Tribolium castaneum: one gene and its partner. Each later gene encodes a partner of the first gene's protein in a complex. Links are inferred from orthologs where the notes say so. Each region holds a gene or a part of one and is shown on either strand. Other genes may lie near its edges.

Evidence for each region.
Region 2: the proteins of pasha (region 1) and drosha are in contact, whole or in part, in a crystal structure (PDB 5B16), measured with the Homo sapiens proteins. The link is inferred for Tribolium castaneum from reciprocal best matches to the Homo sapiens genes DGCR8 and DROSHA. Residues at the interface, in NP_073557.3 of Homo sapiens: Asn728, Ile731, Leu732, Lys734, Leu735, Gln736, Glu738, Met739, Lys740, Leu742, Ala743, Arg746, Arg750; in NP_001369437.1 of Homo sapiens: Leu984, Leu987, Phe988, Thr998, Tyr999, Thr1001, Ala1002, Ile1003, Gln1005, His1008, Phe1069, Asp1073, Leu1074, Glu1076, Val1077, Trp1078, Asn1080, Pro1082.

The regions. Positions count from the first base shown.
Region 1 is NC_087401.1:17,247,349-17,258,825, reverse strand, and holds pasha (microprocessor complex subunit DGCR8), read right to left. Parts: upstream 6,642-11,477; 5' UTR 6,597-6,641; intron 6,545-6,596; 5' UTR 6,424-6,544; coding exon 6,147-6,423; intron 6,098-6,146; coding exon 5,901-6,097; intron 5,146-5,900; coding exon 4,677-5,145; intron 4,628-4,676; coding exon 4,425-4,627; intron 4,302-4,424; coding exon 4,044-4,301; intron 3,994-4,043; coding exon 3,706-3,993; 3' UTR 3,671-3,705; downstream 1-3,670. Other genes in the region: Abcd1 (ATP-binding cassette sub-family D member 1), read right to left, coding at 205-798.
Region 2 is NC_087400.1:1,738,817-1,750,403, reverse strand, and holds the start of drosha (ribonuclease 3), read left to right. Parts: upstream 1-6,328; 5' UTR 6,329-6,476; intron 6,477-6,532; 5' UTR 6,533-6,586; coding exon 6,587-7,319; intron 7,320-7,367; coding exon 7,368-7,862; intron 7,863-7,916; coding exon 7,917-8,176; intron 8,177-10,583; coding exon 10,584-10,741; intron 10,742-10,796; coding exon 10,797-11,587. Other genes in the region: uncharacterized protein LOC103314529, read left to right, coding at 787-1,475; uncharacterized protein LOC107398775, read right to left, coding at 2,760-2,816, 2,866-3,021, 3,073-3,177, 3,229-3,328, 3,378-3,820; major facilitator superfamily domain-containing protein 9, read right to left, coding at 4,390-5,339, 5,394-5,523, 5,570-5,701, 5,747-5,797. UniProt on the Homo sapiens protein: Ribonuclease III double-stranded (ds) RNA-specific endoribonuclease that is involved in the initial step of microRNA (miRNA) biogenesis.

The DNA of each region.
Region 1 (11,477 bases):
ATTTTCAAAGTTAGGGGTCAAAAATTTTCGCATTAAATTTATTACTAAAAATAACTAGTAGATTTTGGTAATAAAACGTTTGTTTCAAACATTATTTTTGAGATTTTTGAAAAAACAAAATTTTGGTATGCTTCGGAAAAAAGCCATAGTGTGACCCATCGTTCCAGGCTACAATTTCCCGCCTAGTCGATTGGTGCTACTCACCCTGTAATAACTTTGGTTCCTGAAGTATAGTTGGTACGAATGTTCCACTAATCGCGTCCTGAAGCTCAGCGCAATCTTGCTCTCCAAATATTTGATCATGCTGTTGATAAAAGTGGCCGGAATTGCAACAGCAAACCACTTAACCAACTGTTTGATAAAATTTTTCGGCTCTTTTCTTACGATATATTTGACAATGGCCCCCTCCAAGTTCGCCACATAAATGCTCAAAAACGTCCGCAAAAACAAAAACGTCGTGTGCCCTCCCAGAAGGCCAATCTCGGCACAAAAAACACTCGGAATCATAATCCTCGCCAACTTGATAAATTGCAAAATAAATTGTAGATTCAGGGCCGGGATGGTATTACGTAAGCGGTGTCTTTTGGGCAATTTGTTGCTTTTGAGCCCATTTTGGATATTTCTTCTGACTAGATTATTGTTGATGTTTACGTCCGTTTTACGTGTTAGAAGAGGATAGGCGATTTTGTACGTGTAGGCAAAAAGGGCCGCGGCCACCACGGCCCCCGAAAGCGCCCTTCGGTTCACATTCAGGGCTGCCTCGCCCTTGGACAAGAATTTTGACACGACCGTTGGCATTTTTCACCAATCAAGTTGGCATTTTCCTACCAAAAAAATTAAAACTTCAAAAAAAAACACACAGTGTGACACATCGTTTCAGGCTGGAATTGACCAATTAGGCTATTTATAACATTTCTTCAATGAAAAATAGTGTGGGATTGGAGAAAAGGGCGTTAGCACGTTTCTATATACTAGAAAAATGCAAAAATTATGTGAAATTTTGATCAGTGTGCCCAACGGGTTAATCTAAAGATGATACATTTCAAAATGAACCTAAAATTTTCATAAGTTCTAAAATATTTTTTTTTTTTTTTTGAAATAAAAATGTCAAAAAATATGCAGTGTGACACATTGTTTCAGGCTGAAATTGACCAATTAGCTGATGTGACATCGGTTTGTTAAAAAAACACGCACGGTTTCAGAAAAACGCTTCTGGGATCGAAAAAGACAAAAAACTTGAAAACGAAAAAAGTTAAAAACGTTTGAATGACAAATATGTGACAATGTTATTTCCCCGTTTAATTTTTCTCCGATCGCCTCAATTAATTCCCTCGCCTCTGACCGTGAATCAAAAACCCGTTTTTTGACGCAAATTAACCTAATATCAATGTCGAATTAACTTACGTGCGACTTCGAGGAAAATGAATTGAAAAAACCGAATTGTCCAGTTTTATTGCCGAACTTTAATCGACGAAAATTTTATTCGAATTCTTACTTGAAACGTAAAACATGACCGGATTATGTGAAAGTTTATTTTAAAACTAGGCCTTGAAACGCAATTATATAATTTCATACACATATAACACACGAGATTTATCCCAAATTGGGCAACTACTCCACATTTCAGCCAATTTGCGAATTGCTAAACGCAAACTTATATAATTCGTTCGAAATTCGCGCCCATTTAATTGGTTACTAAGGCAATCGTCATGGTTACGACTGGTTGCCATGGCCGAAAATTCGAATTCCGTCAGCTGGTAATTAATCATTAATCCATTACCAACCCAGACGCATTAAAAACACAAGTCGCTAATTGTTATCACACGTGATAACAACAATTTCGGGGTTAAACTCCAAAGTTGAGAGGTCAATTGATGATTATTGGCCAATTTGATAAAAATACAGCCTGTTACGATCGATCAAAAATATATTCATCAAAACAAAGAAACGAGTGGGCCTTGGATTTCGTGCATAGCTACCTGTGATAAAAAACCGGAAGCGTTGTCACGGCTATCTTGATGTTACACAAAGAGCCACAGCACACTAGTTTTTTGCTTACAAACTTGTTACATATTTCCAATGGTTACAACAACAAATGACGATCGCCGCTTGACTAAAGAGCGAAAGTGACAGATAACGTAAAAAATCCTCTGACAGATGATTGGAGGGGAGATGAGGTGACGTCACAGAGTGAAAGCAGTGGCGGCGCGCCGACTTGATTTTTTTCGCGAGAATCTGGCCAAATGGTACTTGCTGTTGTATGGTACTTTTACTTTCGATGGGTCTTTAACTTTCTCCGATGGAATAATAAAAGTAAACAGTTGGCTGTGATGGTTATGGAAATGCTGTTAAAAAAACGTTGACCTTCGCCTAATGAATTCGAACGTTGTTAACACAAACAATTAAACGACAATCAATAATTAGTGCTATCTTAATTATTGTTTCTCGAAAAAAACAAAAACAAGCAGCGCCGCCCCTGATTATTTTAATAAACGAAGAAAAGGCAACGGAATGGAAAGGAACTGAAAGTGTGGCCGTTATTACGAAATTCGCACGCTCTAGAAAAAACAAAACAAATCGAATCGCTAATTTTGATCACTAAATCGAGATGGCCCTGAATGCCGCCATCATCAAGTGGGTCATGGTGGTAACAAACGACAGTCGCACGTCCATCAATAAAACAATATCGTGTTTTTTTGCGCTTTCTTCCATCAAGTCATCGACCTTTAAACACCTAACTTTCGATTTTTTTTTTCATTTTTTTCAATTCTCATTTTGGGTTATTATAAAAATTCCCGAGTATTCGGGTTATCGTGGTCAAGGTTGGCCACGACCGATGGTAAAAAAGCGGTTTTTGCTTAGAAAGTTACGTAGAACTGAGACTGTTTTGTAATAATTATAGTTGGCGGTGGGTTGCGTCAAAGCAGGCCGTGACTGGTCACGTGATTTTGACAGTTAAATATATCATACTGGAAAAAAATAATAATTACAAATAATCACATTAATGTTAAACAAAATAAACAAGAAAATAATGGTGGTAATATTTGAATTATGTAAAAAATAATTTTTGTGGAAATTAAAACGTCGGAAAAACACTATGGTGTGACCCATCGTTCCAGACTGAAATCGCCCAAATAGTCACATATTGGCATTGTTTTGGAAAAACTTGCACCCAGACTCAAAATGTCAATTTTTTCGAGGTCCCGAGTAAAAATTTAAATTGTTTATGATAAAAAACTGATATAGTGTGAGATAAGACACGCAAAAAACTGAATTCGGCAAGTAATTTTTGAATTATTTGGAAACCAAATTTTTTTTTGAATTTAACACGTTGAAAAAACCCTCAAGTGTTACCCATAGTTCCAGACTGAAATCGTCCAATTAGTCAAACGCTGGCGTTACTTCGCCAAAAAATCCACTCGGGTTCGAAATAACAATTTTTTCGAGTTTTTTTGGGTAAAAAAAATAATTTCTCCAAATAACAAGCGTAAAAATTGGTAAAAAGCAAATTAGTAACATAATTTTTAAATTATTGGAAAACCAAAATTTTTTTTTGGAAATTTTTGGAAATTAGAATCTGTCGTAAACACATAGTGTGACCCATGGATCCAGGCTACAATTACCCGTCTAATCGTTTGGTGTGGTTACTTTGGCAAAAAAAAAACACGAGTTGCATACAACATTATTTATTGCATCAAGTCACTACTACAAATCGACATTTTTCAAATTAGACGACGACAATTTCGGTAACGAATCACTCTCCGTCGGTATAAAAACCCCAATCGGTTTAATCTGCGTCCTTTTATCCCTCAACTTTGACAATTCCAACTTAAGCTTATCCAAAATTGCAAAATTCGGCGAATTAATCGCTGCCTTACTTTGCAAAAGCGTAATTTCTTGCTCTTCCAACTTCTTCTCTTTGAAACTTTTCACCGATCCGTTGCCATAAAGTCGCAACAGTGACCCCCATGACGTAATATGTGGGTGCAAAGCCTGGAAAAAACCCTAAAAACCCGACAACCTAACAAAACCAAAACCCCTACTTGGAGAATCGCTTGCGACGCCCGCTGTTTCCCATCTCGCTTGTTTTTACACACGACGGTCGCAGTGTGCTTACCCACCGTCATGGTAAATTGATTTTTTTTATTTTTTAACGTGTTGCCTTGGTAACTGATTTGGAGGTCATTAAGGCCGAAGTTACGCTGCAGGCAAGTGAGGAGGATATCGTGCGGCGACGGCTCGGTCGTCTTCGCACAGAATTCGGCCACTCTCGGGTCCTCGATCCGAATTTCGTCGAAAAACTAACAATCGAAAAAATATACTTTTTCAGAAACCAAAAAAACATGTTTTTTCGATTTTTTTAGAAAATGAATTTTTTTTCCAAAATTAAAAAAATTAATTTTGGAAAAAAATTTCGAAATTACCGACAAGTCCTGGTCCTGGTCGCGACTGGCACTCGACCCCGTCTTGGCATCAGTCGTGATTTTGGACTTCATTTCGGGAATTAAAATTTCCAAGGTGGCTCTGGCCGCCTCCGACTTCGCTTGTTTTTTACTCGTTCCATAGCCAACTCCGTATTGCATATCGTTGATAGAAACCGTGGCAGCGTAAGGCGTTGCCGCGTTTTCTGCAACACAATTTCAAAATTGGCGCCAAAAAAAACACCGGTATTTTACCCAACTCTGTAAATTTATACGTCGGTTGTTTTTTCAACGCATGCTGGACGTACTCATGCAAAATACAAACGTACGATTTCCCGTTCGGATTCATAATCCACTCCTTCTTAGCGTTCGAATTCGTGTTCTCACTCGCTTCGTTCGGCTGAATTGGAAACGTGATCAATTTGGTGCCGGCCGGTAAATTAGGTCTCTGTAATTGTTGTTCGTGTTTGCGCTTTTTGGTGAATTGGCGGCGTTCCGACCACGATTTAAAGCGCATCACTTTGATGGTTTTGAATTGGAAGAGTTTCGACGCGTATTTGCGCACATCTTCAGGTTTTAGGTTTTGCGATTCGATGTTTTCTTTAACGGTTTCGATGCGTGCGTTCGGTAAGTCGCTGCTCGATTCGGGCGTTTGCGTTTTTTCCGAATCAAGTGCGCGACGGTAGCTGAGGCAGGGGATGGCGCTTAGGGGAATTTCGTGTTTCTAAAATGGGGTTTTTTCATTTTTTTTTTTTTTTGAGGAAGGGTCGGATCATAATGTGCATCAAGTAGGCTGTGGCAGTGTGATGCGGACTTAATTTAGCTAGTTACTAGTAAAAACTAGTGAAATAATTAACTATTTATTTGTGTTTTTATAGATTCAACATTGAAAACAGTAAAAAATATGAAAAATATTTAGTCAAAAAACAAAGAAAAATAAATCGGCGAAAATCAATATTTTATATTCAGTTAAAACACCAAGGAAAAACTTAATTAATTAGTTTGATAATGAATTAAAATCACTAAAATTAATAAAAAAATAAGCAAACATTAAAAATCTTCATTTAACAACGAATTACTCATTTATTAATTAAAATTTCAAATTAAAAAAATTTAAAAATATTTTGGTCAAAAAACAATTACACAATTAGTTAATTAATTATAATTTTTTAGACTAATTACTAAAATAAAATTTAAAAAAATAAAAAACGAAATAAAACACTGAAACGAAAAACTAAATAATATACACAATATTTAATTATTAAACTATTTTATAGACTGAAAAAATACACAAAAAATTAAATATTCAGTCATAAAACGAATAAAAGAATTAATTAATTAATTTTAATTAATTAATTAAATTAAAAAAAAATTAACGTTCGGGTCGAATTTAACGTCACACGTACCTGTTACGACACTCGCCTCCGGCTCGTGCCCTAATCAGCCTACTTCGATGCACTGCAACATAAAAAAACGTACCCTAACTGAACCCGGGCCCAGAAAATAGGGTTTGGAAAGCGTGCAAACCCTTGAATTTTTGTGCAAATAAAGGGGCATTCCGCTGTTGTGTGTAACTTGAATCCAGCCTTCCGGCAACACATCGAAATGATTCTGGCTCTTTTCAATCAACACCACCTTGTCTTTCTCCTCAAAGGGCTGCTTGGCTGCACTTTCATCTACAACCGACAGTTTTTCATGGGGGCTAAAAAGTGGACGTCCTGTTACCCAAACCCGCCTCCGACGCCTTGCGTTTGTTGTTTTTGAGCGCGTCTTCGAGCATTTTATCGATTTCCTCATCCGGAATGTCCGAATCGCACGAGAAGGACTTTTCCGAGTCGGAGTCTTCGGTCTCGTCCAAAATGTGGAATTTTCGCACGTCATTCTGGCTGGAATAGGGGCAGATCTCGAGCGAATCGGACGTGAAATCGGGGCTAATTCCCGTCAGTTTGAGCGCGTTTATGTCCGGTTTTTCCTCAACCACCTCCTTCTTCACGCTGGCCATGTTGAATCAGTTTTCGTACGGTAACAATTAAAAGAACATTCCAACTATTAGATTAGCAAAAATTGAGATGTTCTTTGAGTAGTACCGCAGAAAACCACTGGTTTTTAGCACGATTTCGGCACTAAAACGTCCAAAAAACGCCGATTTTTTGCCAAATTACGAAACGAACTCACCTGCAACCACCATGTTGAAAAGTCGGTAAAGCAGGAACCATAGAATAAGAGAGAGGAAGAAGCGAATCTCTCTGTCTACCCCTCGTTTTTTCGCGAAAGCGCCACCTAACCTGGGGAGAACAAACTAATTCGATAATAGCGGGAAATTCAAACAGGACATTTTATTTATTTTCCAAATTTAAAGAATTATAAATGTTAAATGTTTCTGTACTCATGCACTGTTACGAGACATTTTAATAAAAAAGCATCTGTAACAGTTGCAATAGCACAAAAACATTTAACATCGCTTAATAAAATGAAACAAAGTCTTTCCAATAAAAATTTATTAAAAAAATAATAACGTGCTGGAATGTATAGGCAAAATTAATTTAACTCGAATTGTTGTTCATAAACATACTCAGATGTACTAATATATGTAAATACATTGTCTAAATATACACAATGATCCAGAGAAACTGAGTATGTTGGCATCAGATTAAATTATTGAATTGCTACCTGAAAGTGTACACTATTGGTATCCTTTAAAATTTAAATTCAGATTGCTAACAGACACAGTATTTCGGGATCAGTCTGTATAAATACATCAGTTTTGTTGGTTTGATTACTTGTCTACAGACTGTTCAGAAAAGCAAAAAAATATCAAAATTTTGCTTGTAACCTTTGACAATAGTCCAATTTTTAAGTCCCTTAAGGCTAAATTTAAACAACTATTTTTCGAAATTTATTCGCGGTTATAAGGTTTACGGACGTTTGTAAAAGCGGCCCTAACACGTACTTTAACAGTTTGATGTCAAAGTTCTTGATAAGTTTTGAAATTTTTTAAAAGTAATCTCGATTGCATCATAGTTATTAGTAAATTACTCAAACACAAGAGAATTACAAGTGTGCTAAAATTATTTTAAATAAAAACCCACATATCTGATATACATAACTATCACTGGAAGTTAACTGATTAAAACTACCATGTAATCATTTAAATTTATAATAATAGTAGGCTTTAATATTGATTAACTTGTATGATACTTGTAGAATACGTTTTTTCGCTTAGTTTCTAAATTAAGCAATCACAAAAAAGACAAACCTTGTTTTTTTAACAGGCATTGGCGTTATAACATTATGTAAAACAACATAAAAGATTAAGACATAGAGGGACATGGCGAATTTGAAAACCTTGAACCATAGCAAGTCCTAAACTCCCTGCTTTCACAAAATACTAGCTTCGCAACTACAATAAATTTATTTATTATTATGATATACCTATTAATTACTGCACATTATATTTAACTCGTCTTCATGGGATTTTCAATTACATCCCAAGAACCGTTATCATCTCCAAGGACGGTCTTCATCTCCTAAGTTTGTGTGATCCTTCTTGGTGTAATATGATTATATTAATATCTAGAAATCGCAATTAATTGTTGTATAGACACCTTTCAATAACGTTTACCTTAATTTGCCTTAAGTTGATTCATCCTTCATTAAAACACTGTCATTCACACTATACACTAGATTCAAATAAAAGATCCATATAAAAGTAGAGATGTTTGATCACAAAAACATCCAAAAAATCACGTTAAATCGTTTTCTGAAGTCTTTAAAACACATTAAAACAAAATGTCGCCAAAAACCGCAACGACAGCAAAATAATCGGCTGTTGATAAATCAAAGAATTAAAAAGAGAAGTGTGCGCACGTCGATTATTTTTAAGTGAACCTTCTTTACTTTTAGCAAAATGTGTGACAGATTCCTTTAAATTTACAGATTTCTTTGCAACTGACGCGACCTCTAAGCTGGAGCACACGAACTATTTTAGCCATTTCCCCCCTTTGCCCCACCCCTCCTAGTGAACACATAATTTGTATACACTTTCAGGGGCCTGGCAGGAACCAGTCACCTGATTCACCATAATCAAGACAAAAACAACACCATTATCTCTAATTTTAATTAACACAGAGGACGCAGTAATGATTACCAATTTTGGGATAATTAGTTAATTGCCGCAAAACTAATTTTTTTTGGTATTTTTTTCTATTGCAACAGATTACCGCTAGGTGGCGTTTTGCAAATGCGGTTAACTTTTATTATTTACGCACAAATCAAACAAAAATACTTGAAATTAATTGTGGTTAACTCGTTTGTACTTTAATAAAAAACTATTAACACATTTGTTTTTTATTTAAAACCTTGTCCACCGTCACGATTTGTTACAGGTTTCTTTAATCTTTTTTGCCGTAAGATGGTGCTGCTAAAAAATAGCCTAACAAAAAAAAATTTGAAAAACGAGAGAAACAATTAACTTATCAATTATTTAATTAAAATTTTATAGACTGATTGTTACACTAATATAAAAACAAATAAATAAAATAAAAAGTCAAAAAAACAGTTTACAAATTAATTTAATTTGTTAAACAATTACAATTCTAAAAAACCTTCTACTACGAAAAAAATAGAAAAAAAACATTTGATTTTTATTGGTAACCAACACCTTGACTTCGTCCAGGTGATTATTATAACCCAATTAAAAATCAATTAATTACAGAAACCTGTAATTGCTATTTAGAAATCAGAGACCTTACATGTAATTCCCCCAATTAGTGTCAATTATCTTTGACGTAGTATTTACAAGTCTTTAGATAAATTACTGTAATTGAACTACAATTGACAACTGTGATAAATAAAATCCCCTAGATTTGTAATCAGAATATCGTTAACAATGAAACCAAATTTCCAACTTTTATTACTCTTACTCAACAACACGATTAATAATTGTTTGGAAGAGCTTGACCAAATTTCGGACAAATCCGTGCGTTTGGTACTACTCCAAACTGTCAATGACGTCACCTTATCCGACCACCTTGACGTCATTACCAACCGCATTGGCGGTACCAATAGCCTCCAAATCGAGAAAAAAAACCTAAACGATAGTGGTACCACCCCTGATTTTGGTACCACCACAACTCACGTCATCGTGACACGTGACGCCTCCACCCTTGATTTATTTCTCGACACTAGACCGGAAATAGTGGTACCACTGGCCCGCCATTCATACAAGATTTTTTTCACTTGGACGAGTGGTACCACTGCGATTTTGCGCCGGTTTTGGGCGGATTTTGGCGTTTTGGACGTTTGTTTTTGCGGTGGTGGTGGTACCACATGTGGTGGTACCAACCAACGGGACTTGCACCGACTTCCGTTGAAAATCGCAATGTTTGTGCGGTTTCCCACCGTCATGACGGTGGTACCCGAACTGTTACGAGCCAACCCGATCTACAAATCGAGTGGGCTGGTCGGTTTAGACGGGTGTCTTTTGTCAACTTTGGCGGGTTTTTTGAATTTTGATTTTACCACAGTTGGGGATATGGGACACGAGGATTTTGGGTGGGTACTACCTAATGGTACCGTGACTGGTAGTTTGGGTCAAGTGGCTGGGAACCGCGCCCAGATCGGTACCAATGGTCGCTTTATCACTAATTATGGTACCACCGATATCGAGTTTACGGTACCATATGATAGCGATAAGATTTGTGTTTTGGTACCAAAATCGCAAAAAGTACCACAATGGTTGATGGTCTTCACTTGTTTCAATGCCATTGCGTGGGCTTGTATCTACGGTACTTTGGTCGTTTGTACCATCGTTTGGTACCGAGCCAGAGGCGAGTGTCGCGTTTTTTGGGAAATGTTCAGTGTGATTCACGGGATTCCCGTCAAGATCGTACCAACTGTTGGCCAATCAATTTTCTTGTTTTTTTGCATGGTTTTCAATGTCATTATTTTGAGTTTGGTTCAGGGTTCGTTTTTTAAATCGTTTACAACGCCTACTTATTTTCGCGAGATTGACACGCTTGAGGAGCTTGACAGGTCTGGTTTGCCCATTGCTAGCAACTTTTATTCGTTCGATGGGGTTGGTTCCAAAACCATTGCCAACCTGAAGCGGAGGAAAGTACCATCGGTACCACACATCATGGACGCGGTGGCGTACAAACGCAATGTTGCCAAGTTAGAAAGAAAGCGAGATATTGAAGCGTTCATTAAAACGCATTATCTAGACAAGGATGGTACCCCACTTTTGCATATAGTCAATGAATGTTTGACGTCTTATTTTATTTCGTATATAGTACCCAAAGGTTCCGCCCTTTTGGCCATTTTTGACCACGTTATTTTGCGCATTGTTGAAAGTGGATTGACCTTGAAGTGGTACCAAGACGTTGAATATACCGAAATGTTGGTAAAACTGCAACATTTGAACCAAAAAAAGAATTTATGGGAACCTTTTTCTCTTTATTCGTTGCAAGGTGCTTTTTTTCTTTGGGTTTTGGGCACTTTGTTGTCAGTTTTGGGTTTTTTGGGTGAAGTACTAGTAGTACTTGTCAAAAAAACGGCAAAATAGGGGTATAGTGTGACACCTTGTTTCAGGCTGAAATTTACCGATTGGTTCAACAGACGTAAAATTCTTGAATTTTGGATGCATTGAAGGCTATTTTTTTTTAAATAAACTTCCAAAAAAATATTTTTTTTTGGTAACATATTGTTTAGACTTGTATTTTAAATATTATTAATAAGTTTTACCAAAAATATTGTTTTTTTATAAGGCCTTTTTGACATTTTGGAAAAACTAAACATCAGAATAAAACTATAGTGTGGCACATCTTTCCAATCTGAAATTTACCGATTAGCCGAAGAATAATAACATTTCAGACGTATGATGTGACTGATAAAATTATTGAAGCTAGTTTTAATTTTAATGATTTATTTTCATTTTTTTTACATACTATTATATTATAACTAGTTGATTTTAAATTGAATGATAATGATTAAAAACGAAGTCAAGGAGTTACAAATTGTAAAAATCGTTGATCTGTTGATCGTAAAAAACCTGGCAGC
Region 2 (11,587 bases), on another chromosome or scaffold:
TCGCTTGAACGCCTTTGAGGCCTAAACGGTTGAAGATAAAGATATGGTCTCGCGGACTTTTTTGTAGGAAATTTAATTTTCTACAACTTTCCTCTGAACATTTTTCTTGTATCTTTAACCGTATTCGCAGCGTTTTAATAAATAGGCGACGGTGCCCAAAAAATTATAGCTTAGAATTATCAATTTGCGTTCTTTTTGCAAATACGGTTTAAGATACAAAAAAGTGAAAGGAACGAGGTTGTAGAGAATTAAATTTTCTACAAAAAAGTCCGCGACACGATATGTCTATCTTCAACGGTTTAGGTATAAATTCATTTTCCAATATTTGACCACCGGCAAAATGGTGGAAATCCGTCACTGAGCGTCTTTGAATGACTTTGGGGCCTAAATGGTTGATAGGGATATGGTCTCGCGGACTTTTTTAAAGGAAATTTAATTCTCTACAACTTTCCTCTGAACATTTTTCTTGTATCTGTAACCGTATTCGCAGCGTTTTGAAAAATATGAGGCAGAGTGCAAATTGGTAAAACTTTGAAATTTTTTTAAATATAGTTTAAGATATAATTTTTGCACTATTTTTATCCCCTATTATTGAGAATTTGATGCTCTATCTGCCTGTATTTTTTATTCGCCTTGTGCTAACCGTTATTTAATTACAACAATTTTTATAAAATTAATACTTTAATGGAACAAGTGCGCTCTCTGGCGACAATTTTATTTGTACGCCGTTTCATATCCTAACTTTTACATATCCGTAGACTGGACGCAACTAAATTTTAATTGCAGTTTTGATGCAATATGTGGAGGAAGACACGGACATCAAGCGTCCTCAAACCCACTTCAAGCAAATGCCCTCAATCTGCTACCACCGCCTCAAAAACCTCAAAACCGTCAACTACAAAAAACACTGGGACTGCATGTTACTCCAAGCCGCCTACACCACAACTTTCTCGATTTATTTCGTCCGTTTTTGTTTTTTGCTCGTTTTTAATTACAATCTCGGCACGGTAGTGGTTGGTTATTCAATCGCCTACCAACACATGTGGCTTTTTGCAACTTCTATGTTGGTACCATTTGTTAAGGAACGAGTCCAGAATAAGAAAAAGTTATTCGAGCACAGTCTCTTAATCTCCGGGTTTCTTCTACCAGGGCTGTACTATGCCCCCAGTTATGAGTGCTATTTGTTTCTTCTAATACCGATGTTTTTTTGCTTTATGTTGGTAAACGCGCTCTTGGACGATGATGCCTTGGGTTTAAGTTTAAAACCTGATGTTTTTGAGGCGTCTAACACCATTGCCTATTTGGTGAATGTCATAGGACCGATTTTTTTCGGAATTGTGTGCCAGTATTTTGGCGGTTATGGGTTTAAATTTTTCTCGTTGTTGCCAATGGTCATTTGTGTCTATTTGCTGAACCAAAGGTTCATGAAGACGGAGCAAGAACAAGAAACGGAAGCAAGAATCAAACAGGATTAGGAAAATTGCAACACCTTCACAATAAAATATTTTTAAACAAAATAATTTGTGTTTTCATTTTTTTGTAAAAACTCGTGAAAATAACGCGATATTTTTCAGAAAAATTTGATAATAGTATATTTTACATTTTATAACCTACTATTCGGAAGTAAAATTACCGTTGAGGGCGCCACTAAGCTAGGTCGAAAACAGTAACCATAAATGGCGGGAAAATGTTTATTCGGATATTTTGAGCGTTGTACGAATTTTGGGGCTTTACAATTATTGCATTAAATATGCGGAATGATTATTGTATCTATGATGCAAGAAACTTATGTTGACAAATGAGAGATGACGAGGAAAACACGAATAACGAATGACTGTTTGGTTCACTTTCTTTATTGGAAAATTATTACAAAGACATTGAAAAGCCTACCTTTTGGCATAATTTACGTTTAAATGTATCAGCAGATGTTAATCTTTATTGTAGTTTTGTAGATTTACCGCAGCATTTCATGATTTTTTCAGTGGAAAATTCTAACCTAAAATTCATAACACTTCACTAATTTATTGGTTTCTTGAGCCAAACTTTGTGTTCGCTGTGATCCATTACTTATAATCTTTAATTAGACAACTGTTTGATAACACTTTGTAATCAAAATTTAAATATTTTTCACTTTTTATCCACTTTCAAGTTCCAACAATAAACACTTTATACCACGAAAAACTACAGAACCAAAGTCAGCGCTAGTATTTACCACCACGTACTTTGAAAGTAATTCTTTCTATTGTAAGTAATTAACACTATACACGCAAAATTGATGAACAATTCATTAAATGTCAGTTAAATGTGGCATTACGAAAATTTCTTTACTGTTTTCGACATAGTTCAAAAGTCATCACCAGAGGGCGTCTAGTTAATTTTATTTCCAAATACCTTCATTAAATACGCCACCTTTTTTATTTTTTATTGTCACTCGTAATGTACTTAATTATTGTTTCATTTAATACGAGCTTTAGATAAAAAGAAAAAAAAACGACAAATCTCACTTTGGGGTTTCTGTTAAAAAAAAATCCCGACATATTTTGGGAAAACAAAAAAAAATCACGGCCTTAAAAAAGTTTTTTGATTCATATTTTTTCGTAAAATTAATAATAAAATAATTATGTAACCGTAAAAACTCTCAATGAATCTTTGAAGCTGTTTTAATTCGTAAGAATTAAAAATAAAACAAACTGTAAAACACTAGATATTACAAATAAATAAATCAGCAAAGTACCTGTGTGTTAATTACCCAAAACATTTCAAGACTTTTTGTACGAACTTGTGACAGAAATGATTGAATAAACGCCTCTGACAATCTGGAAATAACCGAAAGAAGTGGTTAAGAAGTGATTAAGTAACATTTACGGCTAGTCCCAATCGATAATTGACCGAATATTCTTCAGAAACCCTCCACTTCCGTCCTTTCATAACATTCATCAGTAGAATTAAATAAACTTTCTTATTACGTTGACTGAAATTGTACCATTGGACTTCACCGACTGCCAACATCAATTCATCTAGCTACAATTTTTTTCGAATAATTTAAACAATCATAATTTAAAAAAATAGTACATGACTTTCAGTAGACTGTCCAAACCAAATTGTAACCGCGAAATTAACCACACTAGCTAAACCAATAGCACCTACACGTAAATAGTACTCAGGAGTCAAAAGCCCCTTAAACATTTATTTAATCTCAATTATTGGGAAATTATTCAAATAACTTACCGAAAAAATGTAAAACGCAACCGCAACACCTAACAAAAGCCCGCCAAATGCAAACCCGACAAACGCACCACGAAGTTCTTTAGTCGTTAACGTTATAATTCTGAAATTTGTTATTAATTTTTTTGCGAAAAAAAATTTTGGGAACCCACTTAATAAATTCGGCATGTCTTTCAATACAGAATTTCAGCTGTTGTTCAATTTTCGATTCGTTTTCCAAATCTCTTATAATTTTTTTAAACATCTGCACTTGAATATTGATGTGTTGGGTGTAATAAAGCGTCTGGTGGACGTGAACACACATCATCTGGCCAAGCACAAAATTTGTGACTCTGTAAATAACTTCAAAAATGCTCTTAGGAAAATATTCATGGATCAAACGTAGTGCAAAAAACGCATTCACATCGTCTGACAACCGGGCGGCGTAAAACCAACTCGCAATCGAAATTATTACAGAATTTAGAACAACAAAGCCGTTGAAAAAAACTATTTGCCGTTTTATGTCCGACTGAGTCTTCTCGTCTGTACTAGTGATTGTCCACATTGCCAATTTGTGTTTCAAACTGTCGGTTATTTTTCCACGAAACAGTAACATTACAATTGCAAAAAGTGGCTAAAAATTTATGTTAAAAAGAGCACAAACGATGAAAAAACTTGCATAAAATTCGCCCAGAAACACTGAAATATAAGTGATGAAATCGTGCGGCTCTATCACAAAAAGTACGAAATAAATTGTCAACAAATCCAAAACGGCATGAGTTAGGAAAACAACGGCCAGGAATATTTTAACTGGGAGCAGTTGAAAAATATCGCTTGACACAAATTTGATAAATTTCAAGTAGTCGTCTGAAACTAAATTTGAGCTTCGGTACTTCAGTATTAGAATACCTGTCATTGGTTGTATGTTTTTATGATGCATTTTGCACAAGTGTTACGTAGCTAATGCGCAATGATGAAAAAAAGAGCCGAGCATTTTTAATAATTTATTATTAAACCTTTAATTCGACTCGTAATGAAGTAATTACTGTATTATTCAGTTCAGGTTTAGTTTCATTCACTCGAATAATTATTTTTTGTAAAATTATAATAAGGGAAAAGGACAAGAAACTGGGACGCAAATAAAACAAGATAAAATAAAATCTTTACTAACTAACATTATCACAATTAGTTGTTTTTCTTATCACCATTCCTGACTTTCATCCAAACCGACACAAGCGTCCCAATCAAGGGCGGCACAGCCGTAAAAAGCAGAGCACTAGATCCCCCCAACTTATCACTAATTAACCCGGAAGTAACCGGAGTTACAAACCTAGCAACTGACATAATACTGTTGGAAGTCCCTGATAGAGACCCCCTGTGAGTAGTTGACGCATTTTTGAGCATCAATTCCATGCTAACTATCCTTAAAACCGTACAACTCAACGAGAAGGGAACCAAAACCAACAAAAACAACTCGATATTTGGCGCAAAATACAAACAAACAAGACTCAAAGTCATTAAAAGAAAAAAATGAGTTAGACGTTTCAAACACGAAACGTCCCCTTTGTAGAAATAATTAATGTAATGTAGCAAAAAAGCGGCCGCCATTCCAGACGCGCTAAAAAACGAAATGGTGTAACCAACATGGCGCTGCGCCATTTTGAATTGCTCCTTCAAATAAACCGACTGTTGCGAGAAATACATCGTAACCGAAAAACCGAAAATAAACCGTAGCAGGAACACGTCCCAAAAAGCCCCCCAGTCGATCTCCCCCATGTCTCTCACCGACTTGTTAAACTCGTGTCCAAGTTTTGCAAAAATAGGAACACTTTCATGATTTAATTGCCGCTTTTTTGGTGATTTGATTTCATTAATTGCGCAAGTTATGCCAACATTGATGATAAAAAGCACACTTGTGAAAAGACACACGTGGAAAAAGCCGTTTTTTCGCTCGATTAAGTGGCCCCCCAGCGTTGGCCCGATTATGAAACCGAGGGAACCAAAGGCTGTGGAGCGGCCGAAAGCGCTGGCCCGGTCCGAAGGGGGCACCAAATCGGTTATAATAGCCTTGCAAATGCTTTGAGTGTGTTTTGTAACTCCTGTAATCATGCGATTTTGAAAGTGTGCTGGCGCCACTGGTTAAACAGTCACGTGGTCGGGGAAATGCCTACGATTGGTTGGAAACTTACCGAGCAAAATTCGAACGCTTGCGATGACCAAAAGTGAGTTTGTGAGCCCCAGGGCCACGTAGCCGAGACTGCAGAGCAGTAAAGTGATCTGTAAAACGGATCTGCGGTCCCTAACATCGCTCCAACTGCCCTGGAAAAATTTGTTTACGGAAAAATCTGACTTGTGGGGTACATACCACAATGGGGCCTGAAATGACTTGGAGTCCTGAGTATAGCGAGTTTAGGAGGCCTATAGTGAAATGGGAAGCTCCTAACTCCCGTAAATGGTTGCTGAATAGGGGCACTGTGAGGCCCACGGCAAACAGGTCCTGGAATTGACTTGAATAATGTGATAATTAACTGGTTTCACTTACCACAAAAGACAGGACATAGACTAGGTTCAGATTTTTGGTCTTGGTAAACATTTCGTTATTTCGTGATGTAACAAATAAAGCAAAACATGTGCGCCATCATACCGAAATTTTTGCTGAGTTATGTTGCTATTATTTAATAATAATCACACTTGTGCTTATCTAATCAGATTCGATAACTGGGCGGCACTCACGAGTGTAAAGCAAGTAGTGTGACGTTAGGAATTAAATAATTGACTTGATAAGAGATAACTTAAAAATGTTCAGAGGTTATTTTTTATGTGAGGTTATGTCTTGACAGATAACCTTCAAAATTTAAAATGTTAATTAAAAATGCCGAAAAACTAAAACAAAAATGCGTAATTACTTAATTAGTTGAAACATAAGATATGCACTTGCATATTGATGAATTTAATTGAAAAAACGTATTGTATGACTAGTTGCATAATCAAGGAGAGGTTATGATTCCCTTTTCAGTTATTCTACTAGCTTGAAAATATTTTTTTTTACGATTTTATAATAATATTCAGGCCCAGGACTAATAAAACTGGGATTTTCGCCAATTGTCTTTTTTGTAACGACTTTTTTCGAATTTTTAAGTAGGGATATTTACATCAAGTTTCCGATATGTTGGTAGTAACCAATCGGTGGTCTCTTTGGTAACCAAAAATTATTGATAGAAAAAATAACATCATGGTGCTACAATTATTAAACAATTTTTTCAACCAAAAATGTAAGAAAACCATGCACAATTAATAATTTACATTTCCACCATTATATAATTTATAGGATAATCTTCACTAATCCACGCCTATCCACTTGTCTGTGATAGTCTTGAAGACAATGAGCGACCCTTACTACTATAATTCGAGTTATGGGCAATACGTCAACTACCCCCCGAACTACCCCTCCCCCGACCCCCGCTGGCCCAGCTGGCAGTGGAACCAGCAGCCGTACCCCCCCATGATGCCCCCATACCCGCCCCCCGCCAATTTCAACGTCCCGCCGCCGCCCATGGGCCACTACAACTACTACCCCCCGTACCCCGCACAAGACAAGCCCCCCAAACGCTACAAAGACCGCCCGCCGCCCCCGAGCGACTACAGCCAAGAACTGGAATTATACAAGCAGAAAAAAGCCACCAATCAGCGATCGCGTTCACCGAGACGCCGTTCCCGGTCGCCTAGATATTCACGTTACCGGAAACGTAGCCGCAGTCGCAGCCGCCCCCGGGAAAAACCGGTCAAAGAACGCGACCTGATCTTGTCCAAGTGGCGGAAAAATTACTGTTCGACGCGGGAAGAGGTCTCGAATAAGATCCACGAGTTGGCGAAAGTGGACCATGAGGAGGTGCTAGAGCAGGAGAAGAATATCTGGACGAGGTCCACACCCTCGGACTTGTACTACAGGAAGGATGAGAGTAATGCGAGGGTTACAAGGGCGACGAAACGACTGACGCAACTTTGTGATAAATTTAACGATTGCCTGGTTATGAGAGCGGCGAAGGTTAATAAGTTAAAGCCGAAATATGAGCCGCCGCCGCGGAAAAACCGGGCCAGGTTATGCAAACACAAATGTGAGTTCTATTACATTGAAGAAAAAATTTTTTAACTGGAAATTTCAGCTGAGGAATCGAGCTCTTCGGGAAGCTCGGAGGAGGAGCTCACCGATGAGGAAGACTGCACGATGGAGGAGCTGCAGAGGAAGCAACAACACCCCGACCGCCTGCACCCGGAAATGTGGTACAACGATCCGGGGGAGATGAACGACGGCCCCCTTTGCCGCTGTTCCATCAAGTCCCGGAAATCCGGGATCCGGCACGGGATCTATCCCGGAGAAAAGCACCTGGAGAAATGTGTTCCTGACAGCAATAATGCCGAGCGACTGTACCACTACCGCATAACAATCTCACCCCCGACTAACTTTTTAATCAAAACGCCAACAATCATACACTATGACGAGCACGAGTTCATTTTCGAGGGCTTTTCCATGTTCTCGCACTTTCCGTTGGAAAAACTCCCCACGTGTAAGGTGATCCGGTTTAACATCGAGTACACAATCTTGTATATTGAGGAGAAAATTCCCGATAATTTCACCGTGAGAGAGTTGGATTTGTTTCGTAAGTTGGTGCAAAATTTTAGGTTTTGTCAATTTAGTTTTTTTTTTTTTTTAGATGATTATTTATTTCGAGAAATTCTAGAACTGGTTGATTTGGATTTTAAGGCTGCAGGTGATGTTGACGGTTGTTCCCAGTTTCATTTCATGCCGCGGTTTGTGCGCGAATTGCCCGACAATGGCAAGGAAATTTTAGCAATGAACGAAGTACTGCAGTATCTTCTGGACAGTTCAGTGTCGTTAATTGAAGAGAAGGACCTGGAGGATATGATCAAGATGACGCAGTATGAGTGGCAGAGTTACGCTGATGAAATCAAAGTAAATAAATCCGAATAACTTTATACTCAGTCCCATAACTAAGAAAATTTAATTCTTTTGAATTTTGTGTTTTACGCTTCAAATTATTGTGTTCTAAAGGCATTTGCAACTTCAATTACCTATTTTATGTGAAAAAATGTCTAACCGTTTTCTGAATCCTCTCAGTAGCAAAAACTTGACACACCTTTGTCGTTTTTAAGCAAGGAATCGACCAGAATTAAGTTTCTTTAACTAAACTGGTGCCGAATTATTTGAAATAATAATTGGTACCATTTTTACCTGGTAAATTTTGTTTAAAAACTCGGACAGTTGGTTATTAAAAAAATAATAAAATAAAATAAAAAATAGTTGGTTATTAAGAAAATAATAAAATAAAATAAAAAATAGTTGGTTATTAAGAAAATAATAAAATAAAATAAAAATAGTTGGTTATTAAGAAAATAATAAAATAAAATAAAAAATAGTTGGTTATTAAAAAAATAATAAAATAAAATAAAAAATGGTAGGTTATTAAGAAAATTATAAAATAAAATAAAAATAGTTGGTTATTAAAAAAATTATAAAATAAAATAAAAAATAGTTGGTTATTAAAAAAATAATAAAATAAAATAAAAAATGGTAGGTTATTAAGAAAATTATAAAATAAAATAAAAATAGTTGGTTATTAAAAAAATTATAAAATAAAATAAAAAATAGTTGGTTATTAAGAAAATAATAAAATAAAATAAAAAATAGTTGGTTATTAAGAAAATAATAAAATAAAATAAAAAATAGTTGGTTATTAAAAAAATAATAAAATAAAATAAAAAATAGGTTATTAAGAAAATTATAAAATAAAATAAAAATAGTTGGTTATTAAAAAAAATATAAAATAAAATAAAAATAGTTGGTTATTAAAAAAAATATAAAATAAAATAAAAAATAGTTGGTTATTAAGAAAATAATAAAATAAAATAAAAAATAGTTGGTTATTAAGAAAATAATAAAATAAAATAAAAAATAGTTGGTTATTAAAAAAATAATAAAATAAAATAAATAGTTGGTTATTAAAAAAATAATAAAATAAAATAAAAAATAGTTGGTTATTAAGAAAATAATAAAATAAAATAAATAGTTGGTTATTAAAAAAATAATAAAACAAAATAAAAAATAGTTGGGGTTATTAAGAAAATAATAAAATAAAATCAAAATAGTTGGTTATTAAAAAAATTATAAAATAAAATAAAAAATAGTTGGTTATTAAGAAAATAATAAAATAAAACAAAAAATAGTTGGTTATTAAGAAAATAATAAAATAAAACAAAAAATAGTTGGTTATTAAAAAAATAATAAAATAAAATAAATAGTTGGTTATTAAAAAAATAATAAAACAAAATAAAAAATAGTTGGGGTTATTAAGAAAATAATAAAATAAAATCAAAATAGTTGGTTATTAAAAAAATTATAAAATAAAATAAAAAATAGTTGGTTATTAAGAAAATAATAAAATAAAACAAAAAATAGTTGGTTATTAAGAAAATAATAAAATAAAACAAAAAATAGTTGGTTATTAAAAAAATAATAAAACAAAATAAAAAATAGTTGGGGTTATTAAGAAAATAATAAAATAAAATCAAAATAGTTGGTTATTAAAAAAATTATAAAATAAAATAAAAAATAGTTCGTTATTAAGAAAATAATAAAATAAAATAAAAAATAGTTGGTTATTAAGAAAATAATAAAATAAAATAAATAGTTGGTTATTAAAAAAATAATAAAATAAAATAAAAAATAGTTGGTTATTAAAAAAATAATAAAATAAAATAAATAGTTGGTTATTAAAAAAATAATAAAACAAAATAAAAAATAGTTGGGGTTATTAAGAAAATAATAAAATAAAATCAAAATAGTTGGTTATTAAAAAAATTATAAAATAAAATAAAAAATAGTTCGTTATTAAGAAAATAATAAAATAAAATAAAAAATAGTTGGTTATTAAGAAAATAATAAAATAAAATAAATAGTTGGTTATTAAAAAAATAATAAAATAAAATAAAAAATAGTTGGTTATTAAAAAAATAATAAAATAAAATAAATAGTTGGTTATTAAAAAAATAATAAAACAAAATAAAAAATAGTTGGGGTTATTAAGAAAATAATAAAATAAAATCAAAATAGTTGGTTATTAAAAAAATTATAAAATAAAATAAAAAATAGTTCGTTATTAAGAAAATAATAAAATAAAATAAAAAATAGTTGGTTATTAAGAAAATAATAAAATAAAATAAATAGTTGGTTATTAAAAAAATAATAAAATAAAATAAAAAATAGTTGGTTATTAAGAAAATAATAAAATAAAATAAAAATAGTTGGTAATTAAAAAAATTATAAAATAAAATGAAAGATAGTAAAATGGTTCAAATTTCAGGGCATGGTGGTGACCTACCCTGGCAAGAAACCCTGCTCGGTCCGCGTGGACCAACTGGACCGCAACATTGACCTCCAAAAGCCAGGCGACTACAAATTCCCCGAAATCGTCCACTTCGGCATCCGCCCCCCGCAACTAAGCTACGCCGGTAACCCCGAGTATGCCCTCTACCGTCCGTGCACCATTTCAAAAAACCCAAAATTCTCTTTCCAGTTATCAAAAAGCCTGGCGTGATTACGTGAAATTCCGCCACCTATTGGCAAACATGTCGAAGCCGACATTCGAGGACAAACGCAAACTCGAATCCAAGGAAAACAAACTGCAAGAAATGCGAACCCAAGGCAAGATGAAACGGGATATCACGGTCGCCGTGTCCGCCGAGGGATTTTACCGGACTGGGATTATGTGCGACATAATCCAGCATGCCATGCTCATCCCGGTCCTGGTGTGCCACTTGAGGTTTCACCACTCGCTCAATATCCTGGAAGAGTCGGTGAATTACAAGTTTAAGAATCGGGCGTTACTGCAGTTGGCTTTGACGCATCCCTCGTATCGGGAGAATTTCGGGACGAATCCCGACCATGCCCGGAATTCCCTCACGAATTGCGGGATTAGACAGCCGGAGTATGGGGATAGGAGGATCCATTATATGAATACGCGGAAGCGCGGGATTAATACGTTGATTAATATCATGTCGAGGTTTGGGAAACAGCAGGAGACCGAGTCGAATATTACGCATAATGAGAGGTTGGAGTTTTTGGGCGATGCTGTGGTTGAGTTCTTGAGTTCCATTCATTTGTTTTACACTTTTCCCGATTTGGAGGAAGGCGGCTTGGCGACATATCGGGCGGCGATTGTTCAAAATCAACACTTGGCCGTTTTGGCTAAAACTCTGAAGTTGGATCAGTTCATGCTGTATGCGCATGGGTCGGATTTGTGCCACGATTTGGAGCTGAGGCATGCCATGGCCAACTGTTTTGAGGCCCTGATGGGGGCGCTGTTCC